Oryzias latipes: one gene and its partners. The protein of the gene in region 3 interacts with the protein of the main gene of each other region in a pairwise test. Links are inferred from orthologs where the notes say so. Each region holds a gene or a part of one and is shown on either strand. Other genes may lie near its edges. The genes, in order: stx19, E3 SUMO-protein ligase PIAS2 and 5'-AMP-activated protein kinase subunit beta-2.

What was found.
Region 1: the proteins of 5'-AMP-activated protein kinase subunit beta-2 (region 3) and stx19 interact in binary tests that used the Homo sapiens proteins (3 or more experiments, as listed by UniProt). The link is inferred for Oryzias latipes from reciprocal best matches to the Homo sapiens genes PRKAB2 and STX19.
Region 2: the proteins of 5'-AMP-activated protein kinase subunit beta-2 (region 3) and E3 SUMO-protein ligase PIAS2 interact in binary tests that used the Homo sapiens proteins (3 or more experiments, as listed by UniProt). The link is inferred for Oryzias latipes from reciprocal best matches to the Homo sapiens genes PRKAB2 and PIAS2.

The regions. Positions count from the first base shown.
Region 1 is NC_019879.2:17,537,043-17,547,171, forward strand, and holds stx19 (syntaxin-19), read left to right. Parts: upstream 1-3,266; 5' UTR 3,267-3,561; intron 3,562-5,791; 5' UTR 5,792-5,840; coding exon 5,841-6,062; intron 6,063-6,440; coding exon 6,441-6,677; intron 6,678-6,946; coding exon 6,947-7,159; intron 7,160-8,201; coding exon 8,202-8,438; 3' UTR 8,439-8,817; downstream 8,818-10,129. UniProt on the Homo sapiens protein: Plays a role in endosomal trafficking of the epidermal growth factor receptor (EGFR).
Region 2 is NC_019867.2:30,478,497-30,488,558, forward strand, and holds part of E3 SUMO-protein ligase PIAS2, read left to right. Parts: intron 1-1,294; exon of another isoform or gene 1,295-1,331; intron 1,332-1,441; coding exon 1,442-1,614; intron 1,615-2,396; coding exon 2,397-2,484; intron 2,485-2,553; coding exon 2,554-2,604; intron 2,605-3,123; coding exon 3,124-3,214; intron 3,215-3,284; coding exon 3,285-3,419; intron 3,420-4,654; coding exon 4,655-4,760; intron 4,761-4,844; coding exon 4,845-4,918; intron 4,919-5,599; coding exon 5,600-5,760; intron 5,761-7,423; coding exon 7,424-7,557; intron 7,558-8,474; coding exon 8,475-8,661; intron 8,662-10,062. UniProt on the Homo sapiens protein: Functions as an E3-type small ubiquitin-like modifier (SUMO) ligase, stabilizing the interaction between UBE2I and the substrate, and as a SUMO-tethering factor.
Region 3 is NC_019875.2:22,984,532-22,994,693, reverse strand, and holds 5'-AMP-activated protein kinase subunit beta-2, read left to right. Parts: upstream 1-4,109; 5' UTR 4,110-4,431; intron 4,432-5,899; 5' UTR 5,900-5,915; coding exon 5,916-6,074; intron 6,075-6,144; coding exon 6,145-6,302; intron 6,303-6,401; coding exon 6,402-6,495; intron 6,496-7,116; coding exon 7,117-7,231; intron 7,232-7,321; coding exon 7,322-7,455; intron 7,456-7,575; coding exon 7,576-7,644; intron 7,645-8,285; coding exon 8,286-8,363; 3' UTR 8,364-9,589; downstream 9,590-10,162. Other genes in the region: calcium-binding mitochondrial carrier protein SCaMC-1, read left to right, coding at 621-802. UniProt on the Homo sapiens protein: Non-catalytic subunit of AMP-activated protein kinase (AMPK), an energy sensor protein kinase that plays a key role in regulating cellular energy metabolism.

The DNA of each region.
Region 1 (10,129 bases), on a different chromosome or scaffold from region 3:
CAACAGCCCAGGGGTTGGGAACTGCTGCTCTAAAGGATCTGGAAAAAACACTGGCCTTTCAAGGACATCTTGTTAAATTATCTCAATGGTGTTTTGATTATGATTGTGATGTGTTGAACCAAAATCACAACCTGAGATGTCTTAAAAAGACATATTTCATGTTTATCTGAAGCCTCTGTTTCCAAAATCTCCTTTACTGTGTGACTGTGGGTGCTGAGTTGAGGAGCTCCACCCTTGAGCCACTTTTCTTATGATGCCAACTGTGTCTTGCATGTGTGAAAACACAGCCATCAAGGGGCCAAATGCGATTTGCACGACAGAGATGGCCAATTTCATGTTAAGTCAATGCTACAGATGTAATCTGAGGTCCTTCTGCACATTTCGAGCTGCGGGCCAGAGTTAAAAAAGCTGAACTCTGGAGAGGTTGCAGCGTCAAATTAACCAAATCAAGGACTCAACTTTGGGCATGTGTCATTTTCAGTGAAAGCGAGTAGAATACACATCCAATATGGCGGATGATTCCGATAGTTCTCCTGCACTTCCATCCATTTTCTTAACCTACATTGTCCCTTTTAGGGCAGCAGGGTTTCCAGAGACTGTCCCAGCTACTGTTGGGTGAAGGCTGGTACACCCTGGACAGCCTGTCTTAAGGCCCATGGTGGTGGAGCGATCGCGATGACAATGTCAGCTTCCGGGAGACGAGCTGGCAGCCCAACAGAGAGCCGCTGCGGGACGGGGAGCCAACTTGCTTGGGCCTCCAGAACTTTATGATATTTTTCTTATTTTCATCGAGGCAATATTAAAAGAGATTCCCTGATTTTATTTTTGTTTTTATTTTTACCCTCTGGTTAGTGCGGGACATCAACCCTTCCAACTCTGAGAGGGAGCACAAATGTGGAGACATTTCACGCACCTAGGTGAGTGATAGCTAATGGGACTCTAACTTTAAGTTTACATTTAAATACGTACAGCCAACAACAGCGAAAGTTTGACTGACAGCTATTTAAAAGTGAAATACTCAGAATGCAAAAAATGAAAATATTTCCTATTACATTTGTTCTTTTTCATGAGAAAAATGCCACACGAACAAATTAAAAACTAAAAAAACACGATTTTCATTGACCATCTAATATAGTAGAATGCACTTTCTAGGATACACTGTTTGTCTAAACTCAGATGTGAAGGAAAGTTAAGTTAGAATTTGGGCTTTTCATAATATTCCTTATTTCACAATTTAAACAATTTTTAGTCTGTCACTTCAATTTCTTTTTCTATTCTTCTTAATTTTTTTAATGCCATTATTACCTTTAAGTTGCTTCTTTAAGAAGTTCATTTTAAGGTTATTACTTTTTACAAAAAACAGCAGAATTATTTTTCCTTATTAGGTATATTTTCAAAGACGCAATGGAATGTTGGTTAGTGAATAAAGTGTACGCTGAAGTGTAATTAAAATCTCAATGACCTCAGTCACAATATCACAGACTTGCAAGGGGAACAGATAATTTCCAGGTCATCGATTGTCTCATTTTAGTTTTAAAAGACACTGACCCTTGTATCAATCTTTTCAATTGGCTTAATGACCATGCTTTTGACCCCATTATCCTTGCCCCCCTGACCATCTCTATCACCTTACTCATTTATCTCCTCTTTCTCATTTTTTCTGTCTCCTGGTGTATAACCCATACGTCATCCCGGTGCTTGTCTTCGTCGAGAAGTCAGATATTACCCTGCCATGTCATGTCATCCTCATATGATGTGAGGTTTCTCTGCGACTGCTGATAATTTAGGTCTACTCCATAGAGGAGTGTTGCTGTTACCAAGGGCCTTGTAGTAGAGAGAAAAATGAAATTGACAATAGATGGTCTGAAGGTGGTGGGAATGGATGGGAAAAGGTGATGGGAGATCTGTGAGAGGAACTGCTTGGCAAAAAAAGAAACGTTACAAACTGCTCTTTTGAACAGCTGTTATGTGGGATTGTTACAAGTTTACTACATAGAAATGGTTTTTCGAGTGTTTGAATTAACTAAAAAAGAATCCTAGTCAAAATTGATTAATCCTGGTAGCCATGTTTTCATTGGAAAAAAAACAAAAAAAAACATCTTCAGTTTATGGGAAATGTAGCTTCCCAAGGAAAGTCCTGGTGGAAGTGATGTGGGGCTGATTTTGTTTCTGAATACCCTAAGTTAATTTAATTTTAATGTCATGTCACATTTCTATTTTTGTTTTTTATTAACCAAACTATATTCTAGCTGTTCAAGATTTACCCATTTACTTCAATTCTTGCTGGCAAAACAAAACACACTCCTGTAATGGTTTAAAAATTAAACTAAAAGGTTATCTTGTTTTTTTACATTTAAAAAAAAATCCCAGTTGTTAGGCACTCTTTACTTTTTTGGACATTGCAGCAGGATTGCCTTAAAAGTATTCTAAAAATAAATTAGATAAAACCTGTTTCCATTGGTTTGCTCAGTTATGTGACATGTTAACAATCGAAGTATAAACAACAAAAATGTATTTATTTTTTAATTGCCAATGAATTCCTGATAAAAATAAATTATTTATTTTAATTATCACAATGTTTCTTTAAAGCTAAAGAGCCAGAATGGAGGGATAAAAGAGCTGCATCTCTGGAGCCTCAGGTTTTTGACTCCTGGTCTTGGGGCTTCTAGTCTTTGAACTACCTTTTTTTGATGATTCGTTTTTAATTTTTATCACAAAAAATCTTCTACTGACATTTGAATGTTTCTGTATTTTGTTTTATATTCAACTTTTTTTTCTTTTAAAGGTAGATATTTAAGGGTTTTCCATAGACTTGAAAAATGCAATGTGACCAATCATTAGTCTTTTGTGTAAATCTTTTCCACCTGATCCTCTCCCTCTTAGTCACCACTGGGCACCACTCTACAGTCATGGTGAGGTGTGTTCTTGAGAAGTCCTAAAAATGTCATGGACTTACAAAGAGGTGATGGTGGTGAAGTTACTGAATTTAGAAGTCACTTTAAATGTGTGTAGCAAAAGAACTTAACCTACAAAAAAATTGACAAAACAAAACAAATTTAAATAGAAGTTCTCTCACTGTATATATTTCCAGTACAGTGGAACCACGTTACTGTTTGGCCTCCACCTTTTACGCATTACACCTCTATTTGCTCAGCTCTGTTTTCTTTGCTAAGGAATACGCCTGAGGGCAGGGTTTGTGATTTCTGTGTCTCTACCTCCTCATTCTCCTTGTCACATCACCTCTCATTTCTATGTGAGAGCAAACCGGTCTCAAATGTGCTGCTTTCCTGGTTGGACCATTCAGTGCTTTCCCTATGAAAAAGGGGCGGAGCTTAAAACCTGACTTCATCAGACTTTCACCCTGCTTGGAGTGTAACTGTCTTGTTAACAGCTAGTGGTCAAACTTTTGAATGGTAGTATATACATCAATATATTTTTTTTTATTCAAAGCTGAAGATCATCAGGTGAATGTGAAGGTGACCTGGGAGAGTTGGATGGCATTCCTGTTCTGAGTTTTTCTTTCCTAAAAGAGATGCCTGTTGGGAAACAAGCAACATTAAGGTAAATTAAGAACTAAATCTTTCTTTTAGACTTAATCTATGCTGGTTTTAGTCAGATATGACTTCACATTTTAGGTTAAGGAATTTCTAAACTTCAAGGCTTTATATTTAAGAAGTCTTTTTTTTTTACTTGACTTTCAAAATAACTTTTTGTTTAAAAGTAGGAGTAGCTTTTTTTAAGAAAATAGAAGCAGACAGTTTATTTATTGATATAGAAAGACAGGCGGTGGAATATACGGGCACTCAGTTCCTACCTGCACAGAAACAAGAGAATGTCAACAGAAGGTTTTTCTTCAGAAACACAGACAAAAGAACAGGTGTATGGCAAAGAGAGAAAAAAATATTTGCGCTTTTTGAGGGAACAAAACCTTCTGTCACACACAAAGGTCAGGCTCCCTGAAGCATGCTCCACTTTTGTCCAGGTTTTTGGGGATAAACCCTGGAGAATGTGCTGCCAAATCCCACCACCAATGTTTTAATCAGCTAATCTGTGCTGAGAAGTACACACAGCAAGAGAGGAAAGTGCTCAGCTCCTTTAAATTCTGCTGCATTCTTTGAGTTCTCACGCATTAGTTCTGTTTACAACAAAAACACATACACACTCATACACGGACACACTTATCTTTCCTGTTTAAAATCCATCCAGGGAGGGGACAGCCTGTGATTTGTAATGCTGGATTTCTTAACATTCACTCTTTTTCCCCACTCTATCACATTCCTTTCAAAGATTATGTCCTGACCCCTCACACTTGGACCCAAGTGAGGTTAAGGCAGATTAATATGTTCAGTATGCCCATGTGAGAGCAGGCAAATTTGTGTTTGAATAAAACAAATTGAAGAGATTTTATTCTGTGATGTACAGAATGGAAAATAAGAAATTAGTTAACAACTTTTTAAAACAAACTCTTTAAATATCTAAAACTATCTAGTAGAATATCATTTAACTACTTTGCAAAGTCTCAATGAAAACCATCTTGTTTTACATGTGACCTAAATGAGATTTCATTATACTTGGTTTAGTTTAGGGTTTTACTGAGTTACCTTGCGTCCTCATTTTCCTTTTATTTTCTTAAGAAACACAAACAACCAAGTTCTCATGGGAAAATGGAACTCCAGTCAGTTTGACCGATGTTTAGATAAACAAGCATTTTCTAGTAGTTGGTTTTCATTTTGCCAAAACAACATCCTTTTATTGCTCAGTCATAACTCCCCTTACGGGTGAAAATCTGACAAATCTTTGTGGGGCACGCAGGTGGCCCGGAGAAACTATTAAAGTTGTAGACAGCTCAGTGAGCCCATATGGTGAAAATGTTTATGCACATTTTTTCCTACGGGAATCCTGTGAGCGTCAGGTCATAGCGATCACTTATGCAACACGTAAGGGTAAGGAAGGGTGAACTAAGTGAGAAGCAGGCACGCTGTACAGAATTTCCATTTTTCAACGTCCCCCCTTGGTGCTGTTAAAGTGATAAGTGTGCGCCCCTTGCACACAGCCTGGCTGTTAAAAATTTGGATATTAGACAATCACAGCATAGTTTGTGTATGCCTACATATCACCGGTACACCCCGTGCATGCACTTACCTGTACGTCATAGGTGCATGTAAATTCCTTTTGCCTTATACTTCATGATACACTAACCAAACACACAACAATGGTACGTCCCATTTTAAGACTTTCCTTAAAGTGGCCGCACTAGCCTCAATGGAACTGCAAGACACACCTGCGCTACTCTACTCTACCTCTATCTACGATCCACTATGGGCCCGGACAACCCAAAAACCTGCAGCACTCGTACGAGTTACCACTGCTTGTACTGATGCTTGTGATTCCATTAAGTAAAACACACATGCAGGTCATATAATCATATTTGATGCAAAGGTCATCACTTTAGACACTTTTTCAGTTTAACATGTTATACAGTTTTTAGTTTTTGTAAAATCTTGGCATACTGCTTCCAAAGGTCACTTTTATTATTATTTATTGGTGTCAATCATTGCTGTATTTGATGCATTTTTCCCTTAATTCTTTTAAATGTACTTTTCTAAAATTTTCCAAGAGAAAAATAATGTTGTTTTGTCTTTTTATTTCAGATTTCATAAGCTAAAATGTACTAGCTAGCTTCTTTTAATATAATTATGTGATTTCCAAATAATGGCAAATCAAAAAAGATTGGTGCTCTTCGTTGTGCTTTTTTTTTCACTCATTGTGCTCTGTTGTTTCATCTTGGCAGAGTGAGTACACACAATAACTTTGTGTCCTGAAGGGAAGACACTCTCAGGATGAGGGACAGATTGCAGGAGCTGCAGCTCAGGGCCCAGGAGTTTTCAGAGGTGGCAAATGACCACGGCAATCATTTTTCAGAGGAGGATGGTGATGATGACTCTGTGGTGGTGGGAGGCATCACCCCACAGGCTGTGGTGTTTGAGGCAGAGCCAATCATTGAAAGTTTCCTGACAGAAGCTCAGCAAATCCGCACTGACATCTCAACACTTGAAACTGAGGTAAAGAAAAAAAAAAAAGAAGTGTCACTAACTTGTAAAAGAGTGTGTGTACTTTTTATTGTTGTAAGAGATTAAACACAGAAAAAACAGGTCCTTTATAAGTCAAAAATCCTCATTCCATTGGCAAATGTTCTTTGGATAGGCTAAAAAAAAAAAATCTCACAATGAGATAGGGGAACTCTTAATGAAACAATTCTAATCACTAACACGTTTTCTCATACTAAGGCTATTTTGCTATTGAAAAACTTTCTTGATTCAGCTATTTTTCTTGCAAGACAGAAAATAACTGTTTTCTTATCAGTGATGCCAATAGATAGGCATTTTTTATAATTAAATCACAAGTTTTTCTCAAAATTCTTATTTTAAAATGTTGCTCAGGTGCTGAAAATCACTCAGGAGCAGAAGACCTTAGTGGCAACCATGCGTCGGTTTAGTGTGATGAAGAAAGAGAGCAGCTTAACACGGGACATCAAGATTCAGGCTGAAAGCATCCATCGCCGCTTGGACGCCATCGCAAAACAAGCCCAAAGAACCGAGGAGCAGCAAGGAAAGGCGGCTGCAGCAACAAGAATACAGAAGACACAGCACGCAGCTCTGTACAGCAAATTCAAGCAGGTTGGGAAAGATTTGCAGCTACTTTGTAAAAGAACGTCTTTCTTTATTTTGTTTATTTCAAGAGCACACTAGTGAGTTCTGAGTAAAAGAGTTGGTTGCTTAATATATAAAGGTATACTGAGAATGTATTCAAGCGATTAAACACTGTAGCTGTAACAGTTCAGTGTTAAGGATGAAGAGGTTTTTGCACAACAAGGTGGGACTGTAAAGCCCTCTCATTCCTCTTCTCTTTTTTTTCCTATTGTCTTTTTCCCTTAACTTCCTTCCAGGTCATGCTCCAGTATAATGAAGGTCTGCTGAGCAAGCAGGAGCGCTGTAAGTACTTCATTATGCGGCAGCTGGATGTATTGGGAAAGGATGTTAAAGAGGCGGAGGTGGATGAGATGGTGGCCACGGGAAAATGGGAGGTCTTCAATGAGAATCTGCTGAATGACGCCAGAATCACACGCTCCCAATTATCCGAGATCGAACAGCGACACAAGGTGAGGGTATCACCGGAGAGTCACTGAACCACGGCAAAACTTAACTTCAAAAGCTGCTGAATGTCCTGGAACGCACTAAATCAATGCATACTTTGTAAATGCACATATTTCTGTAGATCAATAAGAACTTTGTGTCTCAGTTTTCATCATTTGCATCTTATTAGCCATTTATTATTTACCAATCAGACTAAGACATTGACACATTTTGTCTTGGAGTATCTGAGTAACTTCTGTTATTATAGTCTCCCAATCAACAAGTAATAGCACATCTTAAAGTTTGCAAATAAAAGTGCAGGATAGGTTTGAATGTGTGTGTGCATGGAACTGTGACTTTAAAGTGCTTTGGGCCTTCTAAAACCACAGACTCACCGGGCATATGATAGGTTAAAGGTGGGTTCTTGAACACACATTTAGCCCCTGTTCACGCTGGACAAGCAGGGAGGGGCTTCTTCTTATTATTTTACCTCTGTTTACTAGCGCATGTCCACCATCTGCAGTTGGAAGAGGCTTGGAGCGAAAGTGGTACAAATCTCAGGGTTTTTCTTTCACAGCTCCAATCCAATATATGAAAGACTTGGTGTCAATAGAATTCTATTTGCCGCACAAATCTTAAATATTACTTTCTTTTCTATAATCAATTTTCAAACGGTCGACAAGTTTGAATACCTACTTCACTACCAAATCTGAGTCCCTTATTGGTCAAAGTTTGATCCGGTTTAACTTGCAACAAGCATTCAGAGGCTGCTCATTTCGTACATAGAGCCCGAAAACTGTAGTAAAAACAGGAGTAGCTCGGCGTGATAGCGAGTTTTAAACGTGGAAGCCTGAAATGCGCATTTTCTCCTGTTTACATATACTTTTCATTGGAAGAGGTCACTTGAACATGCGGTGCTGAGGGTGGCATGAAGGTAGTTTCAGAAGGTAGTAAAGCGCTTTATACAACAAGTACAGGCCATTTAGCATTTATAAGAAGAGTTTTAGCTAATATCCCTGTATGACAAACATAAAGTGTTTGACCACAATGATTTGTGTAACTTGACAGGAGCTGATAAGCCTGGAGAACAACATGAAGGAACTCCGAGACCTCTTCCTGGACATCTTCATGCTGGTGGAAGAACAAGGGGCTGCCATTGAGCACATCCAAACCAATGTTGAGAGGACACAGGACTATGTGATTGTCACTAAAGAGAAGTTCAAATTGGCAGCCAGGTATAAGAAGAGAAATCCATGCAGGCAGTTGTGCTGCTGCTGCTGCCCTCCATGGAGATGCTGTTTGTGACGTTTGAGCCCCGCCAAATAAGACTGTTGAACAGAGCAACGGGTGAGCAGAGGCAGCCAAGCATTGAAAACAATTAGAGGCAAGAATTGGTATGGGAAGCACTTGTTTCTTTCAAGAGGGTGTGAAGCGTGTGATAATGAAGGGGATGGTTCAGAGAAAGCACCCCGGCAACACGGTTGCTTATTGGAGTGCTTCACTTGCAGCTGACAGAGGTCACAAACAAGGCCACTAACCCTGCTGCATCAGCGAGACTGATCTTTCACCATCTTCCACAAAAGAGACTCATTTTTCTTCCTTCTTCATTTTTTTTTTCCTGTCAGAGGAACTTCAGTTAATGAGTGTGGAATTGTTTCACAATAAATGCACTTTAAAATTTGTATTTTCTCCAAGAAAAGACATGATTTCAATGGATCATCTATTCTAGAGATTGTTTGTGATAAAAAAAATAATTAATCTCACCAGCATTTAAAGGTTTCTGGGCTATGCGTGACGTAAACCAGAGCAGTTGTGACACACGATCGGAATGAACAGTTTACATGCACAACGATCGGATCAAAAATTGGTATAACCCAGCTATCTGGATCGAAAAGAAATTTTGATCCGAACGAGTCTGATCAGGGCAGACTATTCCAAACAGTGTGTTTACATGACGCATTTTCCTTCCGATCAGGCACTCTTTCTGATTACTTTTGCCCGTGTAAACGCAGCTAGTGCGCTGAAACTTTTTTCTTCAATGATTTGTGATCTTCACTTGTGTCCATGGATTACATGAAATCCTTCCACCTTTCTCCACCTTTGTCATGGTAGGAAGAACATGTCAATGTAAGGGTGGGATCATCTAAGATAGCACAATGGTTACATGCATTGCAAGGTTGAAAAAAACTTTTTTTCAACTTTCAAAAAAGTTTATGAGCTCATAAACCAGAACTATAGAATCATTTACTTCTTTTGATTTATTTGAGCTTCCTAGGCAATTTTGAAGTATTGGTTTTGGTAAAGTTCAATGCTGTTGAAAATATTTAACATGAATGTCACACTAAAGTGAAGTGGTTTCATGTAATCTGTTACACCCATCAAGAGTGACTCAGATTTCCTTGTGACCCACGGTGTCGAGTGTCCACAGGAAAATACAGGTGAAGTGGGTGTGCTGTGCACAGACTGGAAAATCTGGTTTGTATGGGATTCAAGGATCCCTGGGAGACATGGGAATAGTTTGGAATCGGGCACATTTAACTGTACCAGAGGATTAAAAGATCTGCTTTGTTGAGGTAGCTCTTAGTTTGATGAAACTAAAACTCAATTTGAAGAAACATTAAAGGCCTGTTCACACCGGGACGAATTTCGCCGGCGATTTTCGCCGACGTTTAACGCCTCGTGACTAAACAAAGGGCACCAACGAGAGTGTGCACACCGACGCGAAAAAACGCCACGCGTTAAAGCGTCAAAAAAAAAAAACGCCTCGGGTTCGTTTTTTTTTTTCGACGCGTCGCGTCGAAATCTACTCGACCAATGAGAATGGCGCTTTTGCACACGTGTCTGGAGCTTCTGAAGTTACAGTAAAACACAACTTGGGGGCGCTCAAACACAAAACTGCCTTGCTGAGCACACATACCAGCGAAGAAGATAGACGCCAAGTAGCGTCTACACTGCCGCGAAGCAATAATGACGGACATTCTAAAATATCCCCGAAC
Region 2 (10,062 bases), on a different chromosome or scaffold from region 3:
ACAAAAAAGGAATGGAAAAAAACAAAAACAACGTCTCATGTGGACTTACAGCTCGGACGGCACCGACCAGAACAGATGGACTCAAACCGAACCAAAGCAGAAACCCCGTCTGACCCCGAGCTTAAGGCGCGAGGAGCCCAGTGAGCAGCTGTTAGCCTGCAAGCTAACACGCTAACAGCTGGGCTCCCACCGAATGTTTGGTTTTTGTATTTTATGAACTGGATGTTTACAGACTGGTTGTTTGACTGCTTAGAGCCTGGTTATAGAAGGCTTATTTCCTGTTTTTTGGTTCTTTATCTGACTATTTACCGGCTGGTTATTGTGGTTAAACCTACAACTGTTCTGACTCTGTTTACAACTTGAACACTGGGGCTTTACGGACCTTTTGGGGTGATTGTCACCCTTCAGTTGCCTTTATTCTTTAGGTTTTGTTCCGGAATTGACTTATTTTTTATTTTTATATTTGTTTTTTTGAACAGACTGGTCATTCAGCTTTTACTGACTGCTTACAGACTGGTTCAGTGATTGGTTACCTGTTCACAGGCTCTTTTGTAGTTACTTTTGCACTCTTAATTCTTTAAAGAGCTTTTTATACCCTCAGGAGTTTACTTACTTTGCTTATTGACTTGTCTAAAGCAGATTTATCTACTAGTGAAGATTTGCAGCCTGGTTATAGGGTGTTTGTTTCTTGTTTATAGAGTTGTAAGAAAATGATGACAGTTTACAGAACAGAGAGAACTGTGCTTCTAGTAGGGATGTAATCCATAGAGAAATGCTTAAAACATTGATGGAGTTAGAAATGACCAAGCTCTAAAATCTATCAGGGAGTAAAACAAAAAATCGGTTTCTTTGTCTGTTACTCTTCCTGTTGAGCTGAATACCTTCATACCTGAACAAATTGATATGACACCTTTTTTTAACCATAGGAAAAAGGTTCTAAAAGACTCAGACTCGTAGGCTTTAATGTTTAAAGCTGTCGCTTCAAAGACATTTTGTTGCTAAAAAAAATAAGAGTTTCTCTGTTAAAAGGCATTTTCATTTTTATTTTTCAATGATGACTAGATTGTATCCATTTAGATAAAAGTTAGTTGCATCTTTTGTGATCGATTCGTGTACCGTGTTATATTAGTGAATCATGTGAGACGACTCTAGCAGAAAGAGTCAAGATGTCTGGATTCTGTCGTCATGCAGTAGAAGTCTTCCAGCTGCAGCAGATGGGCTCAGCTTTAGACGCTTTACTGGCTGCTCCCTGGATATTATCACTTTTTTAACCTTTATTTTACCATCAGGTGGAGATAACCTGGTTTGCTTCTGTGCCCACATCACCAATGGTTGGTCCTATTGGTCCTGGGTGTGTTAGGGGCCGTCCTGGAGCCCACCTCAGCACCTCAGGGCTTGTGTAAGACTGTGTTGTAGTTTTTGTGTAACTGTTGTGTTTTAGCAGGAAGCACCCCAGTACTGCGGACCTGTTGGATCACGTGTGGCCCCACGCAGAGATCGCCATGAACCTGCAGCAGCCCTCTCCCCTCATTCCCCCCGTCCACCCTGATGTGGAGATGAAACCCCTCCCCTTCTACGATGTTCTGGACGTCCTCATCAAGCCCTCCAGTCTGGGTGTGTGATGTTTGCAGGGCTGACAGATGAGATCCGCTCTGATCTTTATTCCAGTCAGACTCCACAGAGACCAAACCAGGACGATGAGCTATTGGTTTCAGAAGAAAACTTAACATCAAGTTCTAAATCCCAGTAGGCAGCACCAGCCTGTCAATTCCCAGGCGTAACTCATGGGTAACACAAAAGAGTTGAACAGTTCCTGGCTGACAGCAAATGTTTCAGAGCAGTGACTTTATGTCCCACTTTGTAGAGCAGATGTTCAGTAGCAGTCGTGTCAGAGCAGAGTTTGATGTTTGGTTATATAGTCATATAAAAAAAATACCCCTTTTCTCTGTTTTCTCCATCTGGAATTCAGTAATGTTTCTTTATTCCCGATCAGTTACTTTATGGGATTTCATTTTCAATTTGGAATTATGTGGCTTTTTTTAGTCTGAAAAATCCAAAACAATCAAACGTTTCTTTGTGTTTCACCTTTGAACTTGGATCAGATGTTTTCCTATTTCAACCTTCTTAAAGCTGATTAGTTCCATATACTGTGGAACTTAAATCCTAGACTCTGTGACCCCCCCAACACACACACACACACACACACACACACACACACATACCTCGTAATGAAGTCCCTTTTCTGTTGGTGACTCCAGAGCTCTGACTTCGTCTAAAGGGTTTTGTCTTCACAGTGAATTATTTTTTAGACATCCCACCATGGCACTACCACCTCCGTGCTTCATGGTTTGATGGTGTTCAGGCGTTCGCTGACAGGGCGTGTTGTGTGTCTGCAGGAGTAAGCGCTGCACAGAGGTACCACCAGGAGAAATACTTCATCTTTGCCCTGACGCCGCAGCAGGTCCGGGAGGTTTGCATATCGCGGTGAGTCATCTTTGGAACATCGGCTACGTGACTGAGAGCCCCGTGACTGATTGTTCTTCCTCTCCTCAGGGACTTCCTACCTGGAGGAAGGAGGGACTACTTAGTTCAGATCCAGCTGAGGTAAGAAGTTTCAGGTTTTTATCATAATCTGCAGGTAAATGTTGCCATTGGGGTCCTCTGGTCCAATTCACAGTTCAGAATCAGAAATCTGCAGGATTAAGCACTCCTTTCAGCCAATCACAGCTAATCAGATCAGAAGTTCAGGGGGATCACAGCTGATTCGGAGAGGTTCTGCTGGGATCTTCACTCACCCACAGAGTCTGCAGATGGAGCAGAAACTGTAGCAGCGCTCTGTGAGGAAGAGCCTTTAGCTGAAAACGCTTTTACTTGAAGGGAGTTCTGGTTATCTGACAAGCATGTGTGGAAATGAGAGAAGACTGGAATCGCTTCGTCTAATTTCTCTGAGTTCCCAGACCAGGACTGCAGAGCCTGCGTTCGGGCTTGTGGCCTCCGCTTCGGCTGCAGCATCGTTTCCTCTGCAGATTAGTTCCATCATATGATCTCCATGGAGAAAGCCGACTTTGATGACGTGACAACCGAGCAGAGATTTCAGTTTCTGACTTCCTGCTGTGTGCTCAGGTTCTGCCTGTCGGAGACCAGCTGTCCTCAGGAGGACAACTACCCCAACGGTCTGTGCATCAAGGTCAACGGAAAGCTGTTCCCTCTGCCTGTGAGTACTCAGCCCCGCAGAACGTCAACCCTCTGAGGAACTTCACACCAACTGATCCAGCCTCTCTCAGGGTTTTGCCCCACCCCCGAAAAACGGCGTGGAGCCGAAGAGACCAGGAAGACCCCTGAACATCACGTCCCTCGTCAGACTCTCCTCCGCAGTGCCCAACCAGATCTCAGTGACATGGGCGCCGGAAATCGGAAAGGTGGAGCTCTTCTTGTAAAGTGTGATACTGTGGAAGTTTTTGTCATGTTATTTATTATTATTTCTCTGGTTTATCACATATTGAAGGACTTTTTATGTAGTTTTTGGTATTATTATTTTTTTCCCCCTGTATTTTCCGGACTATAAGCCGCTACTTTTGTAATCAACTTTCGACCCTGCGGCTAAATCAATGATGCGGCTAATTTATGCTTTTATTTAACGGCCGCCAGGAGCCCTCCAGCAGTCTCAGAGGGGAGACTGCCTGCATAATTCTACGTCCAGCAACAAGCGCGATGGCTTTAATACACACACGAGCGGCCAAACAGCATGGACCTCACTTCAGTTGTTAGACACTATAGTCATGGTGCAATAAAAGAAAAACCCATGCTCATCCTTTGGTGCCATTAGACCCAACGTGCACGTGACCGCCATTACAATATGACGCAGCTTAAAAATCCACCATCACCAACGGGTTTGGAAAAGTTGGTCTGCTGCCTGCCAGAAGTTTCCTTCACTGTTGTGGCTGTGCCGCGCAGAGCCACATAGAATGTGTGCCGCGCAGAGCCACGTAGAGCACGTGCCACGCGCGCTTATAAGTCATTGCTGCTCTCTTTTACTGGTATGTTTTTTAACCAGCCCTGTTATTTCCACATTGGTGCCGTGGAAGGAAGGAAGGAGGGGAGAGCTGCTCTCGCGTTCCGCTGCAGCTCCCTGCTCCTTCTTAAACACGCACTGGTTTCAGCACATATACATCCTCAATCTACAACACAGTGTGGCGAACCGGGGGTTAGCCCTGCCTTAAACCCCTAAGACTCATGGGAAGTGGGGAATCTGAGTGTGAAGTTCCACACCATAACTGAGGGAGCTGTGAGCTGAAGTGAGCTCCATGCTGTTTGACAGATGTGGGTGTGTTCAAACAAATAGGCTAAACTACTGGTTACTCCTCCGTCTCTGAGACTGCCGTGGTCTATCAATAATCGGGTCAAGATAATCAGTGACGCATCAGCTGAGTCGCCATGACATGCGGCATGAATACACATGTGACTTGTGTATATAAATAGTGGTTAATCCTCATTAAATTGGGTGTGTTGTAATTAGGTGCGCTCTATAGCCTGGAAATTACGGTAGTAAGTTATGAATATCTATCTATCTAGGTGAGCAGATGTGGTGATTGGACCGGGTTTGCTTGCACCAAAGTCACGTCCAGAACTTTAACGCGTAGCTTTTCTGTTTCAGACCTATTCTATGTCGGTGTACCTGGTGAGGCAGCTGACATCGCCGCTCCTGCTGCAGAGGCTGAAGATGAAGGGCATCAGGAACCCAGACCACTCCAGAGCTCTGAGTAATTCTTTATTACTTTCTGACCTGTCCTGCGTCGTCTTTGTCTCCCCTCCTTGTCTGACGCCCCCCTCCCTCTGTGTTTCAGTCAAAGAGAAGCTGACGGCAGATCCAGACAGCGAGGTCGCCACCACCAGTCTGCGGGTGTCCCTCATGTGCCCTGTAAGCCGATCCCAGTGTCTCCACTGAAGGGCCTTTCTGATTGGCTGCAGTGAATGTCAGTCACCCGCAGCTGGAGTCTTTAACCTGTTTAACTAGAGATGGTAGTCTAGTTAGTGATGTAAGCTGGTGCAAGCAAAGAGCTAAATGTAGAAATAGAGGTTTTTGTTCAGCGCTGCAGCCAGATGAGTGATTTCCTCACAAAGCAGCTCCTTTGTGTGACCGTAGATGTGGGATCAGTGGTTTGAGTTCCGGTCTTCACTTCCACTGTCAGCATCTTACTGGTTTCTCTGTTTCTGGTTCAGCTCAAAGGGAAATTACAGCAGGTCTGCGCTAACTCTGACATGCCCTCTATGGGATTACATGATGCTGACAAAGACTCAACTTTTTTCTTACCTTTACTTTTTTTTGTGTGTGATCATGGTTCCAGCTGGGCCAGTCCTCGGCTGGCAGACACCCAGGACTTGGTGATTCTTTTGCTTTTCTAGGATTGTAAACTGAAGGATCTCTTGGCAGAAGGAGGTTTCATCAGCCTGTGTTGAAAGTCCCACTCCGATCCCCTTCTGATCTATTGTCAAAGCGTTCCCGGAGGTCTTTTCCTGAGCTCCTCTGCCTCTCTGGGTTGTGCGGTTCTGCTGGTCTTGGTTCTTCTGCGCCTGACTCTGCTCCCGTCTTTTCTGGCAGCTGGGGAAGATGCGTCTGACGGTGCCGTGCAGAGCAGTGACGTGCTCTCACCTGCAGTGCTTCGACGCCGCCCTCTACCTGCAGATGAACGAGAAGAAGCCCACTTGGATCTGTCCCGTCTGCGACAAGAAGGCTGCGTATGAGAACCTCATCATCGACGGGTTGGTTTTCCTGCACACCTTCATCTGCAGCAGCTCCAGATGGACGTGAGCTTACAGGCTCACCTGATTCAGTTCCCCGTCCTGTTGAAGCACGCGCTTCTCATGGGAATGTTTTCCATCCTGGCATTTCTCGCCATGCCCAGGTTTTTCTGTGGTTAAACGAGTGAACGGACTCTGCAGCATGTTTTCATTTTGCGTCATCCACTGAGAGCCATCAGCCAGGGTCCAGAGCTTTAGCCCCGCCCAGCGTATTTTCTACGTCACAAACACTATTTTAATCAAACTGGGATTTTGTCTGCTCCTCATTCACGACGATTTAAACACAGAAATATTCAGAAATGCAATTTTCTTTATATTACTTCCTTATTTGTCTCATTGGGTTTAATACTTGTTATTATATAGTAAAAATAAAATCATAAAGATCAGGAAGACATACAATTCAATAGGTAAATTCTAAACAAACTAAACTAAACTAAACTGGGGATCCCTCCTTCTTGGTAAGGAAAGACTCCCAGAGAAACACCTTGGTTTTTTAGGTTCAAATTAAAGAAATTCACTTTATTTCACTTTGTTTATACAGGCATCCTTAGTATTATTTATGAACAGGAATATCTTGAGTTCAAAAATGTCAATAGTGTTTTTTAAAGTAGGCCTCAATAAGCAAATGTTATGATGTGATGTGTATTTATTTGTGTAAATACATGTTTTGAAGTACTCAAAGATTTTCAGAAGATTAATCATTGGCTTTTATATTTATGTTTCTTTTTGCTGATCTGAAGAATAATTCAAACCATATATTTTTATGTGTTGCACCTCTAGTAAAACAGCATTTTCCTTGGAGTGGGTCTTTAAAGGACTTAGATTATGCTGTTCTTAACCTTTTTTATAGTAAACATATCCGTGTATGTGATCATATAGGACCTTTGGCACTACAAATGTTTATTAAATATTTCCAGAGTTATTTTCCGACCCGGAAGTAAGACGACTCGATCTCTAAGCCCCGCCTTTCTCTCCTTGTGGGTGCCGCCTATTTCATGACGTCATCTTAGAGCCTCAGCTGTGTGTCTGCGTTTCTCCAACGAAAACTAACGAGATCCCAACTTTTGTAAAGATGGATGATCACATATTACGTATAAAATTAAAGCGTTCTGACTCGGATTCTCACTTTGTGATGTCACAATGTGCTCGTTTTTGTGGGTTGGGAGGGGCTGGCGCTTAGAGAGCAGGTTTTTAGAAGAATACTCAGAATCGCATGCATGGATCAAAGTTCTGCTTTGGGGATGTTTATTGTGAGGAATAAACATTATAACACACTTACAAAGTTTAAAAATTAGCATGACATAGGCCCTTTAAAAGACTGATGAGTAAAAGTGGAGTCACTGTAGGTTAATTACGGTGAGAAATGGATTCATGGATGAGTTTTACTTCTGATGAATCTGCAAAGGGGTTTTGTTTTTAACAAGTTTATAAAGACTGTTGTCCTGTTGGAAGAATATGAAGATCAAAGGGACTTTTCTGAGGATCAGCTCCCCGATGGTGTGGAGGAGTTCATTAGTGATGGGGGGCCAGCAGGACTTGGAGTCTTCTGTTCATTTCTGATGGACAGCAGACCCTCACCACGTATGTGTTCTTGTTGACGCCGATGTCTCCTTTCTCGCTCCAGCCTGTTCCTGGAGATCCTCAACGACTGCTCAGACGTGGATGAGATCAAGTTCCTGGAGGGTGGAACCTGGTGCCCGATGAGGCCAAAGAAGGAGGCGCTGAAGGTTTCCTCTCAGCCGCCCGCAAGAGTAGACTGTATGTACCCCCCCGTCTTCCGCCTGTACCCCGCCCTGGTCTGTCAGAAAGTTTTATCCCGTTCTTTAAAAAATCTGCCAATGGGGTAAGAAAAAGGGTCTGACCGAGAATTCATGTTTCCTCAAGATTGTTTTACTGTTACTGAAAAACCTTCATGAGATTATTTTCCTTGCAAGGCAGAAAATAAGACAAATGTTCTTGAAACCAGAGTCTTCTTCACTCCTGGCCTCCTGGTGAAGTTCCTCCATGTCTGGTTGGCTGATCTTCACCAGCTAATCAATTGAAAATGTACACTTCTGTTTGTACTCCACCGGAAAAAATAAAAGTCCTTTCTGTCACATTTATAAAAGAAAAACAAGACGACTAATGATTTCAAATAAGAACAATGGATGTTTTTTCGTCTTTTTTCCCCTCCAAAATCACCAGTGGGTGACACGTGGGTTTCAGACCCCCCCACCTCAGGCGTCTCCATCAGAAGAGCATCTCTGCTCTTATTTATCCATCAATGATGAATCTTCAGCAGCAGTAATGCAAACTGTCTGCATAAACAAATATCTTATTTTTGTCTCTGATGTCTTTTCATTTATGCAACACGGTAAAAGTTTGGAGCGTCATGGAGGATTCCTGCTTTATTAAAGCGCTGCTGAGCTCCAGAGAACTTCACCGTCTTCTGATCTGACTTTCTGCTTTCCACGTTCGTTCTCCTGATGAGACAAAAAATCTCTCATTAACACGGACCTTTATGGAAAAGTGAGGACGAAGGAGGATTGCAATCAACATTTCCGTCAGTTCGCTCATTTTTCATGAAGAATTGGTCCCACATTTGTGGAAAAGCAGCTCCTGGACGTCAACTTTCCTTCTTGAAGAAAGCTGCTGCTGTTCCTGGTTTTGTTGATTCTCTCCCTTTTCCCTTTCAGCCTTCACGCCTGTGCGGCAGCCGGCGGTGGTGGCCCCCCCCGCAGAGCCCAGCTCCACCAAGAAGGCAGACGTGATCGACCTGACCCTGGAGAGCTCGTCCTCAGACGACTCGGACTCGGACTCGGACCCTCCTCCGAAGAAGCAGTGCGTCTTCATCTCCAAGAACGGCGACATGCACGCCAAAGGGTGAGCAGAGTCTCATCTGGACACGAGGTTCAGATTTGCCCCCAGGAATTTAAAAGCCAGATTAAGAAACTTCTTCAAACGAGCTTTTCTCATCAGTTAGATTAGAGGAAAGACGTGTGAGTTATTCAGGGGAGTCAGCTCCAAAGTTCAAAATTCTGATTTTACGCCAACTACATGCTACATGCATGTATTTGCTATGACCAAGTATTAGAGCCCCAAAAAACTAACAATAGAAGAAAAAAAGTCAATTTTACAAGAATAAAGTCGTAAAATTATGAGGAAAAAAGTCAACATTTGACTAGAACGAGAAGGAGCTGCTTTTCCAGAAGAAACTGAAGGCTTGAAAGCTGTATTGCTGAATGAAAAGGAAACTTAAAGGGTAATAATTGGCAAAAACATTAAATAAAGAAATAATCAAAGTTAACCATAAATAAAGTGAAAACAGCACAAGAACAAAAAATATATTTTAGGGAAAATTGTATTTCAATGGAGGCAGAAATCCTGAAATATCTTGAAAAGTTCAAGGAATTGAAGGACTAGAAGTCTTGGCTGGAAAAAGCTGAAAGAGCTGAACATTTAGTTGAATGTTTAAAATAGATGAAAGGTTGTTGGCGGAAGATACTATAATAAATAAAGAGAAACAGTAAAATAATACATTTGTAAATTCGTCATTTTAAAAATTGTAATATTAAAAGGAAAAAGTGATGCTTTTTAAAATAGTCTTAATGTCATAAAGTTGCACATCCACAAAAATGAACAGCAGGTTCAGCCCGTCTATCCCATATTTCTGAACATAAATTAACCAGATAATCATTTTTCTCTGTTAAAACACTGTAATGGCTGAATTTAACGTCTAACTTTTGAAAACGCCTGATTTTTTCCTCGTAAAACGACGTCTTTTTGAAGCATAAACCTATTCTGAATAATCGTAGCATTTCTTTTATAACAGTACGACTTCTGTCTCATGTTTCTACAAGTTGACTCTCCTAAAGGTTATACTTCTAATCCCATAATTTAACAACTCATATTTGTTCATTTTTCTCTTTTTATGACGGTCGGCCCTAATACTCTGTCGTAATTTTCTATTCAGGAAAAATGTTTTTTGGTGGTTGGACCACTGATGGACAAAGCAAAAATGTCATTTTGTGGGCGGAGCCTCTCTGTTAAACATTCCACATTCACTAACCCTAACCCGGGTCCTGATGCTGATGGCAGCGGCGTCCCTCATTAACGTTTACGCTTCAGACTACAGTCACACAGTCATTGTTGTCATCTCCAAAATGAAAGCAGTGTTTTTACCCTCAGATTCTCCCTGACTTCCTCCAGAAACACGAAGGTCTGAAAGCAGCAGCTGCAGTTCATGAAGGGATGAAGAGTCACCTGTCATGAGCTTCTGCTGTG
Region 3 (10,162 bases):
AAATTCAAGAACTACTCATTTTTCTCTGCAAAGATTCCTCAAGTTCTTTTTTTATAAAAAACTATCAAATACATTTTTTTTATATAATTGTATGTTTTTTTAAATATAATGAAACCATATTTAAATTTTTATTTGATTTATTTTTGAGTTGATAATTGTTGTCTTGTCATTTTAGACTATTTACATTTTCATTTTTTTCAGAGAATATTTAGCTGTGTAAAGTTACTTTACCATATTTGTATAAATTTCTCAGTATCTTAAGAATGTTGTAACCCTTGTGCTATCCTAGACACTTTAAATTTGGGAGTTGGGCCATCTAGACCCACTAGACAGTGCTCTGAACCTTTTTTCTTCAATGATTTGTGATCTTCACTGGTGTCCATGGATCACATGAAATCTTTCCACCTTTAATCCACCTTTGTCATGGTAGGGAGAACACGTCAATGTAAGGGTGGGGTCATCTAAGATAGCACAAGGGTTAAAAAATCCATTGCAAAAATTAGGAATGCCTATGCACCAGCTATCCTGTTAATGTAAACTGTTAATAATTATCCTGCTCCACATGACTAATAATAATCAATAATCACAAACCAGAGTTTAAGTTTTGTATTTCTTTTCAGCATCTCTGGGTTCGTCAGAGCAAGTTTCCATGACTGGCCTGTTGAAGACGATTGTAGCCAAAGATGGCTTATTTGGACTCTACAGGGGCATCCTGCCAAACTTCATGAAAGTTATTCCAGCTGTCAGCATCAGCTATGTGGTTTACGAGTACATGAAGACAGGCTTGGGAATCTCTCATTGATACTGCATATGACTACAAAGAACATTCACTGTATTTATAAGACTTGAAGATGTAAGAAAAAATTCTAAAGGACCAAAAAAAAAGCTAACAAAGCATGATTTTATTGGTGGATGGAATGAAAGCTGTATGTGTAAGACTTGCCTGCCAGTAGTTACAGTATATTTTAAATCAGTTGTGGTGCGCATGCTTTCATTTTTACCTCGAGGTTGCACATGAAACACTCCTTTCCAACTGAGTCTTAAACAATGTTTAATCCATACAGTTCTATAGATATAAATAGTTTAAGAGTCATTTGTTTATGCTGCGTTTCTATTTTAAAGACCCACTCCGATCATCATGTGAGATATTTTGAAAGTGTTCCAAGTGTAACTATGACGTTTTTAGCCAAAAACAAAAAACCTATCGTATTTTAGAACATATTTTCTGCAGCACGGCAGTGGTTCATTAGAAATTCCTCTCTAAGTTGTGGGCAGAAACGTTAGTTCGGAGTGAGCCTGCCCCCATTTCCCCACTATTCAGCTTTTTACACTCTCTCCCTCGTGCTTACAACCCCTCACACCCCCAACCAAACAGTGGTACAAGAAAAATGAATATTGGACAGTTTTGAGCCAGATGCCAGGTTGGATGAGGAAAACAAAGACGTACATGGACCTATTTGTCTTTAAGTGGCTGTGTTGGAATGGAGCGGAGCCGGGAGCTTGTTGCCTAGTCATTGTAGTTTCTTCGTAACAAATGGTATCTTTCTTTTTCATCTGTTCCTAATTCACAACAATTTAAATTTAGAAATACTCAGAAATGCCATTTTAAGCTTAATTTGCTGAATTTAAGTCCCCCATCATCAGAAAAATGCCACTAGAGCCTGTCAAAAAATACCATTTTAATTGGAGTGGGTCTTTAAGCTTGATTTTAAAAAACTGTGACACAGCATTACTTTAGTTAAAAAGACAGACATCTTTTTGTTGCAGAGTTGGTTGACTCTTGTCCTTTGCTGTGTTTGCTATGAAATGTGAAAGGTGACACTGAGTTTTAAGCCCAGAGGCACAACTGAACCCTTAAGTTTCAAACACCTTCCTTAATGTGACGACAGAAACGCAAAGATCTAATCAGCAGCTGTGAGCTTAAGCCAACTGGTCCTCAAAAAATCAATGTGTTTCACGACACACCTTCTTGACATGTGAAAATGACTAACTCTACATTCTTCTGGTGGTAATTTATGAAATGTGCCTTAAAGCCTCTTGATGCAGACCGTGAACATGATTTTTTCAATCTTTATAAATATATGCTGTATTTATGTACTAACTATACGAACAGGATTTCGGTTATTCTATTTATTGAGTTATTGATGAAACAGTGGTAAATGGTCATTGCATTGAAATTCCTGATGAGAAACACTCTCATGTGTGACTATTTTTGCAACCCAGTAAGACCTTAGTAAGACCTTAAAACATGGGTTACTCACCTGTTCAGGTTGGTGCTGTGTTTAAATGTTAAAGCTAAAAGGTGGGAGGTTTTCTTTTTTCTTAAATTTTTACTATAAGACTGTTATTAGCCTTTTATGTTTTGTTAAAAAATGCATTTATGAATATTTAAAGAGTTTGACTGCTTTGGCTTTAGTTGTTATGCATATTTATGATTTGCTCTTGATGTTGTCAGATTTTAGGTATTGGAACTTTTTCCATTGCAATTAGTAAATTTGACCTTTTATTGATTAAACAGTCCCCATGAAATTCTAAAAAAATAAGTTATTTGGTTTAAATTATCTTAGGAAATCCTGTAATTATATATCTTAAGGCTGTAAGGATTTAAAGTACTTTGCTTTGCAGTTTAGTCCTGTTAAAAAGATTATACAGAACTATCCATTTTGGTGATTTTAAGTCTGCAAGGCTTTAATGCTAAAAGAAACAATTTATGTATTTTTTCCCCTTTTTTTTCTTCGCCCATATGAATCAGGTTGAAAACGCCTCAATTAGTAACTGCTTTACAGCAAATGTTGACCAATCAGGGCTGTCTGGTCTTTTAAGGAAAGGAGGCTTTTAAAAAATAAAAGTAAGAAAATAGCATCATGAAAAACATATCAGGGGATAATACTGTCATGTATCAATTTTTTTTCTTTTATATTAAAGCATGTAAAAAATTTAGGCAAATAAATTCATGAATATCAAAAATGAACATCAGAAATATGGTCTTTCGTTAAAATTTAAAAATGAGTGACAGAATAAAAGTGTTTGGACATAAATCCATTGATGTTCTTAACCTGCTGTATCCCTTTCGGGGTCACAGAGTCCCCAGAGCCTGTCCCAGCTGTTGGGCGAAGGTGGGGTACACCCTGGACTGGTTGCCAGTCGGTAATGGAGCCACACACTCATAGCTACACTAAGGGACACTTTAGACTCACCAATTAACCTATAAAGCATATTTTCGGACTTTAGCATGAAGCCAGGGTGCCTGGAGAAAACCCACACAGAAAGGTCCCAGCTGGTATTTGGACAAGGACCTTCTCGCTGTGAACTAAGAGCACTCACCGCCACAGTACAGCCCTGGACAGAAATACGCTCACTAAAAAATAAACAAAATTCAATTTCTCAGTTAATGTTGTAACTTAAACTTTTTAAAACATTTTATAAACACCCGCAACCAAAGCAGTTGTGATGTGATAGGTGAGCTGATATTGTAGTAACAAATTGCTGGGGAGGGGGGGGGGAATCACACCTTATCATTTCCACAATGTCATTTAAATCATTTTGTTTACCTTGATGGAAAAAAAGCTATGATAGAATGAAAAATGCCAGGGATGTCAACTCAGCTGTTTTACCTAAAATACAGTGTATTAAATTAAGTAATTACAACCCCCCTAAATAATTAATCACTTTGAATCGAGAGTACACATAGACAACAATACATATTAAAATGAATGAGAAACACTTATGCTCATTGCATTAACGTCATTAAATGACTTAAGTAACACAATAATTTGTATTTTTTTATGCAAATTAGGGTAAATCTTTTTTTTATTAAATAAATAGTATACTTGATACATCTATATGTTACATTTTATAGTATAAAAATGTCTTTTAATTTCATTTCATTTTATTTGTAAAAAAAAATTACATTGACTAAATTGTACATTATTTGGATAATTTTACTACAACCACTATTAAGAAGAGACACGACACCAAATAAAGAATTAATTACATTTATTTAAGTATTTGTAAAATTTCATAAAAATGTTTTTTTTTTTGTTTGTTTGTTTACCGGATGTTGTTTTTGTCGCGGCTGACTGCTTTTTTTCCTTTACCGACCGCCGTAGTTGTAAAAAGGGGAGGATCTTCGCTGGTGTCACAGACTTTCCTGCTGCTCTTCAACACAAATCATCGCCTCAGCAGCGATAGGCCGAGCTTCTAACCCTTTTCGGTTCTTTTAAATGACTAAAAACAACAACAAGTACTCTATCAAATTAGTTAAATTGTTTTAGTTGTTATTTACACAGTGAAAGGAGTTCCCGGTTCGAAAGCAGAGTGACAGCTAGCTAGCTGCTAGCTGACTTTAACAGCGACCAGCAGCTAAAAATATTCACCAGGACAGTCGCGAGGTAGGCGGGCACAGCAAAAGCGTCCTGCGCAGTTACCACGGTAGGTTACAAATAGTGTGTTTTGTCATACGAACTAAGCTTTTTATTGATTCGCAAGTCATTCGGTTGTAGTTAAAGCAGATTTTCGAAGGGACCCATCTGTGTCCAGGGAAGTTCACTGATAGTTCATGATGCTAAAAATACCTTCTAAACGTGGGTAGGTTAGCTGTTGTGAATATTTTTATTTTCTTTATAATCTAAAGATAAACGTATCGTTGTTTTCCACATCATTAGGCTGTTTTGTTTTTTGATTGATTTATTTTTAAATATGACTCTGGATCATCCTTAGTTCTAAGAAGAAAAAAACAACAATCACAACTGATGATTTGATGTTTTTTATAGCTATAACTTTAACTCTCACGAGTAACACAATTTTAGTTTATTTTCTGTAAAACCAGAGTGTGACATATGTGAATGTCACACAATGTGACATAAAGCGAAATAGGATTTGCTGTTTGTTGACTAAAGCCAAGGCTGATCAGTGTTCCATGAATCCAGCAGTGTCACGGTGAACCCACCAGTCTACAGTGTTCAGCAAACACCTGCGCCTTTGTAGTAAATAGAAGCTTTTGTGCCCTGAGCTTTTAGTTTTTTCTTTTTTAATTTGATCGTTTATCTATGTTGTTCACTGAAACCTCCTACTATTTTATCCTTTAAAATTAAGACATCTTAGCTTGTAAACTAATTTGAAGTGATGGACTTGATTATAGTGTGAAAGGTTTATACTGCTCATTTCTATGTAGGGGGAGGGGGGATCAGTGTCTCTGTGGGGACGTAAAAGGTGATGCTTGTGAAAACAAGCACCATCATGTGATCAAAATTCAATTAGAAGTTGTATTCTCTTTTAGGTTTTTAGTAAAAAGTACATTTTACTATGATTATTATAGAATAGTTGCATGTCGTTAACTTAAACCAATCTTATCAATGTTTTATGATACAATATTTTTTAAAAAGCTTACTTTGGTACTTAAGCAATTTTTGCCTAACATTACTTTCTTGTAATTTCTTAGTAATATGAAACAAAAGTTATCCTAGAGTTCGCTTAAATCAGATCATCTTTACAGAGTTCACTTTTTTTTTAGCAAGGGAGTTGAAGTCAGTCTGGCTCTTTACTTGGTTCAAATTAATAACTGAAAAAGGAAAAATAAGGAGAGGAAAAACTGTCACCAGATGCATTTACATGCCCTTAAGAAACCGAGTGAAACTGTGTTTACAGAATAGTTTCAAGTTTGTTTTTTGGCATTAATCTGCTCAGTGAAAAACAAGTTTTTCAGAAAAGACTTACATTGTAAACTGTTTGAAAAGACGACAAAAATCCTCTATGAAAGCAGAAAATAATAGAAAGCATCTGATAAATATGAATAATAAATATCCTCAATGCAAACATGAATGAACATTTGTCATAAAAGTGTTATAAATAATGGTTTAGTTCCCACTTCAAGAGTTTCTCCCCCCTATATTTTGCACAGTAAGCAGTGAAGCATCATGGGTAACACAAGTGACAGGGTATCTGGAGATCGGCATGGAAACAAGGCCCATCGTTCCGACAGCAGCGGCAGCCACAAAGACCAGGAGCACAGCACCAAGATGGTGGACAGCACAGATGATCCCAACATCTTCAACACCTATGGACCTGAGTCTAAAGTAGGAATCCAACTACTTCACTATATAATCTCATTTCTTTCATATTATAAATATTTATGTTTGCTGTTAGGGGCTAGGAGATAAAGAATTCACCCCGGATCTGGATGACCTGGTGAAAACTGCCTCCCAGGCCCGTCCCACAGTGATTCGCTGGGGTGGTGGGGGGAAGGAGGTTTATATCGCAGGCTCTTTCAATAACTGGAACACTAAGATTCCACTGAATAAAAGGTAAACCGTTGGTTTTACATCAGTTATACTGGTGTCGAATGTGTTTTGAAGTTTTGTCATCGTTTTAATATTGTTTGCTTTTTCTTTCCCTCCTCAAAGCCATAATGACTTTGTTGCCATTTTGGACCTGCCTGAAGGAGAGCACCAGTATAAGTTTTTCGTGGATGGACAGTGGGTTCATGATCCTTCAGAGGTACCCGAGTCATTTTTCTGTGCTTGTAGTTTTTGTGGAAAAAAGTTTGAGCTCTGCTGGTTTCTGGGTTGCAGTCAACATCAAAACCTAAAGGATTAACTGAAAGCGTTAACAAGCTAATTTGCTGGCAACAAGTCATCTTAACTGAATATGAAGTAACATGGTTGAAGCAATAGGAAATGTTTTCTTGGAGTATAAGTCAGTAAGAACAGATTTTAAGCTTGGCATTGGTCAAAACTTGTCAACTAACCCATCTAAAACAGATTGGACAGGATGGTTCTGTATGTTTTATAATTTCATTTTTAATTGTTTTTTTTTACCCCTTATTCATGCAAATATTCATTAAACAACTTCTGCTTCAAACTTACCTTAATCTAGCATCAACTTAAAAAGCACAAGCATTAGTGAAATTGTTGGGAATAAATTGGGCCGTCAGGGGGTTAAGTCTGTAAAGCACTTTGTTTCACTGTAGAATGAAAAGTGCTTTATAAATAAAGTTAATTTGTGTGTTTGGTCTCTTCATTTAGCATTTGGTGCTTGTCATAGCAGTTGTGTTTTTTTTTAAGGTGTTAATGTTTGACATGTTAGATGATTAACTTCAGGATCGTTGCTGTTTTGCAGCCGGTGGTAACCAGCCAGCTGGGAACGATCAACAACCTGATCCAGGTGAAGAAGTCTGACTTTGAGGTGTTTGACGCGCTGCAGGTGGACTCCCTGGAGTGCTCGGACACATCAGGTGCGTCTCCTGTGATAGATCTTGTTCTCTTGCTGCTCGCCTAAATAGATTGGTACATTTTCGGCCTTGAACACATCTTCATGTCTCCAGACTTGTCCAGCTCGCCTCCAGGTCCGTACGGACAAGAGCAGTACATCTTCAGACCCGAAAAGCACTTCAAAGCCCCTCCGATTCTCCCCCCTCACCTGCTTCAAGTCATTCTTAACAAGGACACCAACATATCAGTCAGTGTTTTACGTTTTCTCAGTGATTCATCCTTTTACTGTCAATTCCGTCTGCTTCCATGTTGCTGTTGTTTCTCTGAACAATAATCTTTGTGTTTTTTTTTGGTCTCTGCACTTCAGTGTGACCCTGCTCTGCTGCCTGAACCCAACCACGTCATGCTAAATCACCTTTACGCTCTCTCAATAAAGGTACATTCACTGTTACAATGTTGCTTTTAGACAGAATTTTCCATTTAAATTGGAAAATATATATATATTTTTTATCTGCCTCTTTGCCTCATCTTTTTAGTTTTCCTCAGTGTCGCTGAGTTGAATTTTGATCGTGACAGTTTTGGTTCTAGTTTGTCTTCATTTAATTAGCCCTGGACTGCAAGGACCTGATTGTTTTTACAGTTCTTCTTTCTTACTGCATGTTTTGGTGAAAATGTCACCCCTGCCACATTCTCAAAAACTCCCCAAACTTTGCACACGACACCTCCACCTCCAAAAAATGATGACATGACAGCAGGCGAAACTGTCAAAAAATGAAAGGAGGCAAAAAAAAAAAATCAACAAAACCAAAACACACGAGTCGGGGCTATCCAAAGGAAGTTTTGAAATTATTATTGGATGGCCACAGAACCATGAGGAGTATGAAATTAGGCGTTTTAAGTCTGCTACCCAAACCAAAGTGTTGTTGACCTTTGACCTTGAAAAGAGGCAGCTTTTTTATATTTTCCACAAAAAAATGGGCGGACGATGCAGTTTTAACTTTGTATTATTTTTGCAATTTCTTTTCTTCCAGAGTTGCAGCTCTTGAACCCTTTTGTTTTTTTTTTTCTTCTGTGTAGGATGGAGTGATGGTGCTAAGTGCTACTCACAGATACAAGAAGAAGTATGTCACCTCTCTGCTGTACAAACCCATCTAACCCGTCTTCAGATGCTCAGAGAGAGCAGCGTGTTCGTTTTCTTTTCAGTTTGCCATCACTTATAGACAGGAGTTGCACTGAAACATGTTTACAGGCTGCTCCAAAGAAAGCCGCACTTCTACACAGGGCTCTGAACAACGGTACAGGGTGTGGGGTTTTGGTAAAAGAAGACAACTCTACTACGGCTTTAGCTGGTGACATCTCCTTGCCGATGAGCCTGATTAAATCACTGCGTGGTGTTTGTATGTTTTCACATTTGATTGTGTGATTGTAGTTTTTAGATGACAGTAAACGGTCTGTTTTTTTTGTTGTTTCTGCTGCGTTTGCGTTGTTACTTTTTTTATGTCGCTCGCTGAATGTAAACAGAACGACAGGTGACCTTTTGTTAAGGTGAAGTGCAATAGTGGGTCATGAAATCATCTGTGAATTCTGTTTGAGCCAAAGGCTTGTATTCCTGTTTTTGTTTTGGCAGCCGTGATGCCCAGCTTAGTCCAGAGCTACAGTTGTAGCCATTTCTTTTTCTTTTTCACTAGTAGCTCTTTTTTTTCCACACAGGAAGTGGTCTAAAGTCTTTGCTTAGCTGCTGCTTTTATTCTGATGAATGTTTGTAAGCATTATCGTTGATACAAGCTATAACTATGCAGTAAGTAGCCTTTGCATTGTATTGTCTTCCATCTAATTAGTGTGTTCTCACATTTGTCTGCTTTGTTAAAGAAAAACTATCGTACTGTATCTGTGTGTTACACGTGTGGAGCTGCTTAAAGGTCTGTCTGCGCTCACATTTCAGTTTCATAGATGTTGTGAATACATTGATGTTGAGAAATGAAGAGAACCTAGGAGAGCTTTGATGATGACTGGTTGCCATTTATTTAAATTTTATATGTAAGACACACCCGTGTTTTGGTTCTGAGCTGCTGGTTCCTGCGTATGAATGCTCACAACTCTTCAAACATCAAGGAGAATCTCTCGGAGGTATGTTAGAGTATTCTGTGAATGTTAAGCCGGGCTTTTATTTTCTAAAAGCTCGGCTTTATTTTTTAAAACTAAGATTTGATAAAGGAGTTTGGAAAAGAGCCATGGATCCAGGGCTTTTAGGGCTAAAACCAAAACTTGAATTTTGCAGCTATACTTGATAAATCTATGAAAATGCTTAGCATAAACAATGTGGTAATCCTCTATAGAAGATTGTACTGTACTGCAAATAAATACACTACTCTGATCCTAATGCCACTCTCTTGGTCATTTCTTTTTCAATGAAACAGATTTTCCAAATGGTTGTTTCTAAAGTGCAGCTCTGGTAAAGGGTTTGTGGAAGTGATGGTCTTTTGTGGCATGTACTTCCCTGAATTAATGCTCAAACTTTGTTTAGCAACAATGCAACTAGTTAAAATCTAAAAGATTGAAACTTAAATCAATGAGAAATGAAACGAGAAAACAACTTTTTCAACTGTTTTATTCTCTCAAAGGCCTTGATTTCTAAGACAACACACCAAAATTAGCATTCATGTGTCTTGCATCAGCTCTCGCAGCCTAAAAAGCTTTATATACATATGCAACTTCAAACCAATCAAACATTTCAAATGGTTTTCTTCCCTTTATTTTTATTTTTTAGAAACAAATAGTAAAAAGTTTTTGTTTGTATTTAACAAGGTGACATTTCTCTGTCATTCAGAAGCTGGCTTTTTAGTTTTAGAAGTCACCACATAATGTAACGTTAATTGATTCAAATACTTGGTCTCATTCAAATGCAAATAAAGCCTAATGCGGTAAAACTTGAGGCCATTTGAACCACTGAAGCT